2 linked regions of the Schizosaccharomyces pombe genome follow. The protein of the gene in region 1 interacts with the protein of each later gene in a pairwise test. Each region holds a gene or a part of one and is shown in the gene's direction. Other genes may lie near its edges.

Region 1 (6,803 bases):
ACAGTAAAAGCATCCTATGTATCATCAACGATTTAAGTAAATTGACGTGCGAATAAACCGTAGAATATTGGATAAAGTGACAGTTTGACGGATCCATGCATCGAGAAGATGAAGACTTATTACATAAAGTTATGATGAAATTGACGGATTTCATAAACTGTGCAAGTTAGCTTTTTTAAAAAAAAAAAAAAAAAAAAAAAATATTATTATTGCGCGTATATTTGAAATTGTTTTTGGTCAGCAATGTAGTAGAATTCATCGTGAGAAAGAAACTTAAATTCTATATTTATTTTCTAATTAACTGAATTTAATTAATGAATTAATTGATTAAGTGTCAACCAATGCGTAGGCTAGAAATAAAAAATTGAAACTAAAAAATCGATAAAATAAAATAATAAAAAATATGCGACAGATGAATGAAATAATACTTTAAAAATATAAAAACAAATGAAATCAATAAAACTAAATAAAATAAATAATAAATTACATTCAATGAAATAAGGTAAAGTTAACTCGACTCAAAAAAGTAAATAAGTTCATACCATGATATTCTACGTACAATCAATAGACATCAGTAAAGACTATATCCATGAGACTAGTTCGTGAACAATATGGGAATATCAAATTCAGATATGAAAAGAACAGTCTTTACAAGTTAAGTTAATAAGCCATATGTAATGAACTCTACCTAATTTCAAAACAACCAAAGCATACGTTGAAATATTAAATAAGATCCATTATCAAAAATCCATTTATTTAAAAAAACAGTACGATGTTTAAGAAAACACAAAATTTTTGTATATTCGGTTTTTTAATGCTCTTACTAATACATTTTCCATTCTCACCGCTTCATACATGGTTTTTTGCATACTGTTTTTTATTTTTTTCTATATTTTATTTTCCCATCTACTCTTTCTCCTCTATAAGATGATTTCCATATTTCCGAGGAATTTCAATAGCTAAGATGCGTGGGTTTTCCTTTGGTATCCAGCAACCTAACCAGGTCGATAAACGCTCACCCCCATTTTCTCCTTTCCTCTTGCAATCTATCCATCACATTGCTATTTGCCGAGAAAAATTCATTTCATATCTCCGTCGATAAATATAGGCTTTATCGCACGTGGTTTTGAAATCATTATCGTTCTTTATGTAATTGGCCAAAATCGATCTACACCATCTTGTCGAGACTCGAGCTCAGTGATTTACGATTTTTACAAATCTCAGCTACTTTATCTGCATGGAGTATAAAAATTAAAGTGGAAATATATTTTGATAAAGTTGGTATTGCTGAACTGAATATATGATTATCTCTTTTCCAAACATATTCTCTCAACATCAAACAAAAGCATTCAGCAACTACAACAGGCAATTCAATCTCCCTCACCATCACTAAATAGTAAAAGTTGGTAAAACCATTGCAACCCGCTCGCCCACCACTGTTGATAGTTTCTCTTCCTTGAACATCCGTTTTAACGCTCTTCTAAACGCTTTCTCTGCAATCAATTCTCCTTTTTGTTCGTTTTGGTTTAGCACTATTTAATATCCTAATTGCTCTCGTTTGATCCTTGATTGTCATTTACCGTGTTGGTTCTTATCCCCTATCTATCGTCGATTATTTCTTACAAAATTGAACACTTACACCGTTTATAGTGTTGCTCATATACCCTTATATAGATATAATTATATATTTAGATATCTGGGAAGTTCTTTTTTTTTTTTTTTTTTTGGTCACACCAAAATCTAGTTTCATTAAATTTGGTCATCCTTTTTCTGCAAGTTGGATTAATCTTTTTATCCGCTTCAGGCAACCATAATCACATCTTTCTTTTTTTAACCCTGAGGCCGCAAAAATTTGTCGATTTTGGCCATCAGCTTTTGTTTACGTAAAACTGAGAAACCACTTACATTTGTTAAGTCTCTTTTGTCTTGCTCCAAGTCCATAGTTACACTCTTGCCGGGTTCTTCGCCATAACACAAATACCGGTTGTTTTACTACATAAATTTACCTTATCGTAGTTTTATCATTTATTTCGAATCCGGTTATCCTTTTCTTCCTAGAAGAAAATACTCTACTTATTGCACCTAAGGCTCGTTCTGCTGGACTGGTTGACTGTTCAGTCCATCGTTTTAACGCAGTCTTCCGCGCTCTTTGTAAAACTGCCTCCCTTTTGGTCTCGCTTTTTCGGTGCCTGATTGTTACCCCTTCGTTACTTGATAATTTCATTTCTGCTGATTGGGCCATATTACCTGAACCACCACCACCGCAATTGGATTTTCAATATAATTACCCGATCTCCTTCCCTATCTAAGCTCACACATATCTGCATAAACAAAATTTGCCCACAACCATTCTTCTTCTACAAGTATTAAAAGACAGCTTATAGATAAAGTTACTTGTATTGTTTTTGATCGTTATCTTTTACTATTTAATAGTACTGTTGTCGATAAAGTTTAAGTGCTCTTCCTTTTTCTCGGAGTCTGAGCGACTTTGCCTTGAAAATTCATTTATTTCTCGTTTTTTCCTTCTCTTTTCTACGCAAAGTTAGTTTTTGACTTATCTTTTTCACAACTACTATCGCCGTATGAGTTATTTGCAAGGATCTTCTTCTAATAAAGATTTTTTGCTCTCATCACGATTTTTTTACTTTTCATCTCAGTTCTTTTGATCTGTTGGTGTGATAAAGACTCTTTTCATTAGTTCACTCTCATCTTACTGGATTTGGTGAATATTCTCCATCAAAAAGCTTCTTCACTTCTTTGAATTTGCTTTATGATAATTGACTTTTTGGTATCTATTTCTCCGCTCAATTCATAGGTTGCATCTTGGTTTATTTAACCACCATTGGAAACTGTTCGAATTCTCCAAGGTTTCTTTACTCTTTTTTTTTTTTACATTTTTTGCTTTGCCATTCCTTTTCATAGGATAGGCTCTTTGTTTTCTGCGAGTCGGTTTTCTATTTATTGTATCTTTAACTTTTTAACTTTGTTGAAAAGTTTCCTTTAACACTCTGTTAAAACTTTCACGTTCTTATTTTTGTTCTTATTATCCCATCCGTAGTATCTCTCGTACTACCTTTGAAATTTGGTGCCTTGGTACTTTAAGGCTTTTATTTTTTGTTGGTTTTACTGAACAGTATTACCTTTCCTATTTCTTTCCTTTTTTTGTCCTATGCTTGTTGTGTTTCCGTTAAAATTCCGGAAAATAAATCATTCACGAAGTTCTGTCACCTTTTAACATATTCTCTGTTAATAGTGATTTTTGAATTCACTTTTGGAGATTTATGCTTTTTTGCATCTCTCTCTGACTCCTTTATTCCCTTTTTATATTTATCATAATTGGAACGTGCGCATTCCTTTCTCTCCATTTTAATATTTTACACATATTTTTGTTGTTTTTTTTTTATCAAGGAAGAATAATTTATTATTTATAATTTCTTGTCAATCCATTACGGAAATCTCAAAATTTTTTGAATCCAATCCATCGGTTCTCATCTGGGTTCAATCAATTTTGCAATTTGTACATATCGATACAATCGTTTTCTTGTTTTTTTTTATTTTCCATTGTGAATAAGCTTGGATCATTTCGTTCAGTACAACTCACTTAAAGCTAGCATTTACTTTGATTCGTTCGTAATTAACTTTTTTACATATCACCAAAAAAATGGCTGCGAAACCTGCTCCTTTTGGCCAAAGTTGTTCCAACTGCCACAAAACTACTACTTCTTTATGGCGTCGTGGCCCCGATAATTCCCTTTTGTGCAATGCTTGTGGCTTATATCAAAAACATCGCAAGCATGCCCGTCCTGTCAAATCTGAAGATTTAAAAGACATTTCTCCACTGATACAGCAAGTTTGTAAAAACGGAACCTGTGCTGGAGATGGATTCTGTAACGGTACGGGTGGCAGTGCTTCATGTACTGGTTGTCCTGCTTTAAATAATCGTATAAGAAGTCTCAATGCTTCTAAGTCTCAGAGCGGACGCAAAAGTCTATCTCCCAATCCTAGCAGTGTACCCTCTAGCACTGAAACCAAAGCTTCGCCTACACCTCTAGAATCGAAACCTCAAATCGTTTCAGATACCACGACTGAAACTAGCAATGGCACTAGTAGACGACGTTCTAGTCATAACCAGCATGAAGACTCATCTCCTCCTCATGAACCAAGTGTTACTTTTTGCCAAAACTGTGCTACCACAAATACTCCTTTGTGGCGCCGCGACGAGTCGGGTAATCCGATCTGTAATGCTTGTGGTTTGTATTACAAAATTCATGGGGTACATCGTCCCGTTACCATGAAGAAGGCAATCATTAAACGTCGAAAAAGGCTGGTTTTTAACGGTAATGCGAATGAGTCGCAACACAACTTAAAAAGAATGTCAAGTGGGGATTCCGGATCTTCCGTTAAGCAACAGTCTACAAGGGATGGTCCTTTTTCTAAATCTTTTCCCAATGGTAATGGCCATGCTTCTGGAAATTCTGGTGAAGGTCTGGCTGAGCATGGAATGAATACTGGAGTATTACCTCCGGCTAGTACATTTCCTTCATACAACAGCAATTTTACCGGGTTCTTGCCTTCTTCGTTCAATCCTTCACCATTGATGACATTGTCACGGTTAGCGGCTGGTGAACCTGATAATAATGGGAAAGTTTATTACTCATATGGTCCTACTCAGGAACAATCAATATTGCCTCTTCCTGAGAACAAGCATGAAGGATTGCCTCCTTACCAAAATGAGTATGTTCCCAATGGTATACGAGCTAATCAAGTAGTATACCCTGGTCAGCTTGTAGCAGTTGGCAATGATTCTAGTAAGCAATTATCGGAATCTACAACATCGAACACGGATAATAATGGCGTTGCAACTGCCAACCAATCCAACCCCTTAGGCATGAAGTTTCATTTACCTCCTATCCTTCCTGTTGGCGAGTCAGTCTGTTTGCCTCCTCGAACTTCTGCAAAGCCAAGGATTGCTGAAGGAATTGCTTCCTTACTTAACCCCGAAGAGCCACCCTCAAATTCCGACAAGCAGCCATCAATGTCAAATGGACCGAAATCAGAAGTTTCACCTTCGCAATCTCAGCAAGCTCCTTTAATCCAATCCTCTACCTCGCCGGTTTCTTTGCAGTTTCCTCCTGAAGTTCAGGGATCAAATGTAGATAAACGCAATTATGCTTTGAATGTTCTTTCGCAATTGCGTTCTCAGCATGATTTAATGATTCAGGAGTTGCACAATTTAAATCAGCACATTCAACAAATAGATGAATGGCTGAGGTCCTCTGACAATGAAAATATGGCTTCTGAACATATTAAATCCTCAACCCCTGCTGTTGTTGCATCTGGAGCTCTTCAAACATAAACTTGATTGGCATGTTTGTCGTGCGGCATATTTATTTATGGTAAACAAATTAGATATTATCCCGTTTAGCTGTCTATTACTTACAAGCATGACATTGTATACTATGAGTTTAGGGTAAAATACTTCACATGATTCTTATTGGTCTTTTGTTTTGCGTTAGTTTTGGTATTGGCCAAGTCCGTCTGCGGTGTTATATTCGTTAAGAGCTGGAAAATAATATTCAGTCCTTAGCGATTTACCGTTAAATTTAGAGTTAACATATATGTTTTTAATGAAATCCTATGTGGAGCATTTTTTATGATATTAATACGCATCGAAAAAGCAGATATTGAGAAAAAATAATACTACCGGATTTATATGGTATGTAGATAGTTAATATATTAAATATATTTAAACTGCCCGAGTGCAAACTCATTTGGAAATTGTCAATTCATTAATATATTTTTACAATTTTTCGGGGGAAAAAACATTTGTATACAACTATTTAAAACGGAAAATGGAGTTGCTTGTAAAAAGCAGTATCCATGGTTAATTAGTTCATTCGCAAAAAGTCATTGCTTGACTTTTAAAACTATATGATTAGGCTGAAATTTTAATTGTTCATTACAGCACATATATAAAAAACTTACACTTAATTTTCAGCTCAAATAACTTCGCTATTCATTATTTAATCTATTTAAATCAATAATAATGTAATTATGATATATATCATTTAGTTTTTCTGTTAACAACCAACAGTCCCGTGTTCTAGTGGTATGATTTCTCCTTCACACGGAGAAGGTCCCGGGTTCGATCCCCGGCGGGACTAGACTTTTTGTAAAATTCAACAATAGCGAACTTGAACCATAATGAGATGTTTTAGTATAATATTGATAAACAGTTAATCTACACTACTACTCTAAACATCCTAAGCTTTTCTGAATCTTAACAGCAATGTAACATATTTTTGGATTGTTATAATAATTTACTCCATTTGTTCTATTCTCCGCTGACTATACTTTCAAGTGTATTGTAATATTGTTTTCTGCAAGTTGAAATCAACGAGTTTAGGTAGTAGTCTTTAGCATGAAAGAGCTAACACATTAATGCAATAATTTGGAAAATGAATACAAATTAATGAACTTCACATTTTTCGTTCATCATTTCCAAAGTGTTAAGCCTGTAGAAGAGAGCAAATGCGATCGTAGAATAATACTCGCAATATGAATCAGATAAATAGGCAATTGAATGCCTCTCGGGCGTTCTTCATGGTATTCAAATAATTAAAGACACATGTATTATCTAAAAGAAAAATATAAATTCTGGATAGTCTGATAGATGATTGATTGGACTTGACATAAAAATGCTTATAATATTTGTCGTTATCCCATTATGCTATAATATTTAGAACGATATTTTTTTAACGAATCGTTAAGGATATGTTGCGCAAAGTACTTTGTAAACACCA
Region 2 (3,901 bases), on another chromosome or scaffold:
CTTTCGGATATTTACATTTTAAAGTCAATAACAGGAGAAATGTTTCTACAGAGTAAAACCCTCTATCAACAAAATCCCCTAGAAATAAATATTTTGTACCTGGACATGACCCACCAATTCGAAAAAGCTCCAGTAAATCATGCAATTGGCCATGGATATCACCACAAATGGTTACAGGAGATGAGATCCATTGTATGTTAGATTCCTCAATTAAAATATCTCTTACACGCTGACAAAGTTCAACAACTACCACAAAACGTTAGACCCCATTCTTATAATTATGGCAAAGAACAACCAATATGAATGATCGTTGTTATATCGACGGAGATAAAAGTTATTCTATAAATACTATTATACATACCATTTGATTCTGGAATTAACCTTCCGTTCTCCAGTTCCTCAAGTTGCCAATCCAAATCTAAATCAGTCATTTTGAACTCGTCAAAACATAAAGTAAAGAAAACTAGAATAACTTGGTCCTTTAGAATAAGAAAATAAACAAGTGAAATTCTTTTTCAACTTTATGTATCATTTAAGAAATTTAATTTTAAATAAGTCAAAATACCTCTGTCAAGAGGTATGACGCGTAGAGCTTTGGTGACTAAAATTCGGTTTTCCTTTTGATAATGACTTTTAAAATAATTAACATGACCTCCTTAATTAGCAGCTTCCGAATTTTATTGACACATACGTTGCGTTACGCTAGATTGTTTTTCAGAAAAATACGGTTGCTCCACCATTATTAGTGCTTTCATCTCGAAATGAAATGGACACAAGTTTTTGTATTAGATTGTTTTTTTTTAATCATTTATACTTAAAATTAATGATGAACTAGAATCTTTTAATTAAGTTGCATGCTACTCCAGTATGATTATTATAGCATGCCGTATTATCATTGATCTTGAGTTTTTATAACGCTAATACAAGAACGTGCACCTACTCATATATATATCTAGATTATAAGAAAAACTCCTATAGTTCTAACGGATCTAAATTGTTCGCACAAATGCGCAGCTTTGATGTTATAGGGTTTTTGTGAAATAAACTACATAACACTATAGCTTCTTGGTAAAAATCAGATAACACTCACAATTATAGGTAAAATAATCTGTATGCTGAAGGCGTACCCCTGTGGCGGAATATACACTCAATATAGAAAAACTGTATAGTCAATTCGTGTTGCAAACCCATAATTTATGTGAAGCTTTAACATAATTTGCATACTATTCTTTACTTATGTTCAGTCGGCAACTCAAGATGTTCAAATAACTAAAAAGATTTTAGAAATATATTCTTTCTATCTTTCAATATGGTTTACTGCAATTTGCGTACTATCAAAAGAATGAGGTGTGTAAGAAATGCTTGCCCTGAGCAGTACAATGCAATTTTTTAATACTTTAACTATATCAATCAATGTGTATGCTGTTGTTTTTATCAAGTATGAAACATATCTCATCTTGGTTGTTTTGGTCGCTTGTTATAAACTCATTTGGCTAGTAAAGCGACTGTTAATTTTATGTACAACATACAAAAATAAAATGTTAACAGAATTGTTTGGGTATTACGTAGAATCGGAGTATAAGCGCAACACACTAGTTTTTTTTGCCGAAAAAATTATTTTCCAGACGTTTTAATACCGAGGGATAAAGTTATCTGATCAGTCACGATGGTAATTAAAAAAATGAGATCGAGAATGCCGTTTAATGAATAGACAATGAAAAAAGTGAAGAAGAATCATCAAAACGTACATCAAAAGTGGTTTAACTAAAAAATTTCGAGTAATTTACTTGGATATGTTTTTTGCTGCAATTATATCATTTGCGTCGCCTATTGTGCAAGGAAGAGATTTTACTAGATACGTTTTCTACACTGCTCAGCCGAACCTGCCGACAACCAACTAGGAAAAAATAGGGCGTTGATTGTTGATTAAAAAGAATAAACTAGGTTTTTGAAAAAAAAAGTAGGAAAAGAAATAATTCCTCAAGCTGTGCTATTTTGATTGGAAATGAGCGTCGAAATTACTTTTGTTGAACAATTTCAAGAGATATTGCAAAATGGAAAAGAGCAAATAATTTTACTCAATTTTTATGCACCATGGGCTGCTCCATGCAAGCAAATGAACCAAGTCTTTGATCAATTTGCAAAGGACACGAAAAATGCCGTTTTCTTAAAAATTGAAGCTGAAAAATTTTCCGATATAGCAGAGTCGTTTGATGTAAACGCTGTTCCTCTATTTGTTTTAATCCACGGAGCAAAAGTTTTGGCTAGAATTTCGGGGGCAAATCCTCAAAAATTGAAGGCTGCTATTGACGAGTATATTCAACCCCTTATCTCCCAAATATCCTCTACCAACGCGTCCGTGGAAACTCAAGTAAATTCCGTTCAGACTACCAACACTACTTCCAATACCTCTAAAGCTCCAAATGGGTTGGATTCTGAACTAAATGAAAGGTTGAGCACGCTAACAAATGCTCACAATGTTATGCTCTTTTTAAAGGGTACTCCTTCAGAACCTGCATGTGGTTTTAGTCGTAAGCTCGTTGGATTACTTCGTGAGCAAAACGTTCAGTATGGATTTTTTAACATATTGGCTGATGATTCTGTACGCCAAGGTCTTAAAGTGTTTTCCGATTGGCCAACTTTCCCTCAATTGTACATTAAAGGTGAATTCGTCGGTGGTTTAGATATTGTTTCGGAGATGATTGAAAATGGTGAATTGCAAGAGATGCTTCCCAATTAATTGTTATCTGTGCATATGAAGAATTGTACTTTTAATATCCTTAATCATTCTTTTATGTTGATGATTTTGTGAAAGATAACTTTTAAATTGGATAATCAGATAATAATACGATTGCAGATTTAGTTTTCTGTTAATTTAATTTTGTTAACTAACCGCCTCAACTTATCAAAACAAATGTTAATAAAACTATATAACATAAAATGAGTTTAAGCAAGTAAATAACGCATAATAAGCAACCAGGTTAATTAAGAATACACAAAGGAGCCAGAACTACCATTGCAACTATTACTTCGTACACTTTACCATTTAGCAGTACCCCCAAATTTCAGAAAAAATAAACAATTAGAGTATGCAATACAACTGCGCCAGTATCCACACAAAAGAACTAATCGACTACTACACCTTTCTCTACATTTTATTTCACAACTTAAAAACAACAGATTCTCATTCACGAACAATGCCTACTGCTCACATATTACATGAAAACCGAATACTGCTTAGCTCATCATCTACACACTTTTTGACTATGCACATCAAGTTATAACAATTCTCACAAACGATTCACGACAATTGTTACAAAGAAATGTACAGAAAACACGTCAGAAAACACCAGCTGCCCTACATGACACGACCAAAAGGAACATATCATGTAAGAGATCATCGCAAATAAAGATAGCACAACAATTAAGCAAAAAGCCAAATCGATCAGCACATCCTCAAAGAAGTAAAAATTCTCACTCTGCGGGCAACGGTGCCTTCTATCATCATCCGTGTTGAGTTCTGTGGCTAGGTTAGGAAACCCAAGCCGGACGTATACTATAGAAATGATCCTATGGAGTATCGTCGATGGTCTTCAAAATCGCGGACGATGCCTTTTTATAGTAAGTATTTGAAAAAAAGCAGTCACTTGGCTTTGCAAAAGCAGCCAATAATATTGGTGCTACCTTCTAAAAAATTTTCCACACCTTTACATCGTAAATTACGAAAACCTTTTTAGTGTGTTGTCAAACTTTAGGTTCTTAACAAATTTAGGGATACGAAAACCAACGGTATAAATTTATAATGCAACAAATGCTTATGCGGTGCAGCGTTGTTAACTACTTTAGTGTTGTAAGCCACGAGATGGGCCTTAAAGTTTTCCTCCCTACATAGTAAACAACT

The links.
Region 2: the proteins of fep1 (region 1) and grx4 interact in a two-hybrid assay, tested with the Schizosaccharomyces pombe proteins (3 studies listed by BioGRID, with this or other methods).

Annotation. Positions count from the first base shown.
Region 1 is NC_003424.3:439,908-446,710, forward strand, and holds fep1 (Fe-sensing transcription factor Fep1), read left to right. Parts: upstream 1-2,313; 5' UTR 2,314-3,661; coding exon 3,662-5,356; 3' UTR 5,357-5,814; downstream 5,815-6,803. UniProt on the Schizosaccharomyces pombe protein: Transcriptional repressor that binds the consensus promoter sequence 5'-[AT]GATAA-3' during iron-replete conditions to down-regulate transcription of target genes. Represses the expression of the iron transporter fio1 in response to high iron concentrations.
Region 2 is NC_003423.3:3,955,499-3,959,399, forward strand, and holds grx4 (CIA machinery monothiol glutaredoxin Grx4), read left to right. Parts: upstream 1-1,885; 5' UTR 1,886-2,005; coding exon 2,006-2,740; 3' UTR 2,741-2,981; downstream 2,982-3,901. Other genes in the region: pph3 (serine/threonine protein phosphatase), read right to left, coding at 1-246, 362-431. UniProt on the Schizosaccharomyces pombe protein: Monothiol glutaredoxin involved in the biogenesis of iron-sulfur clusters. Binds one iron-sulfur cluster per dimer. The iron-sulfur cluster is bound between subunits, and is complexed by a bound glutathione and a cysteine residue from each subunit.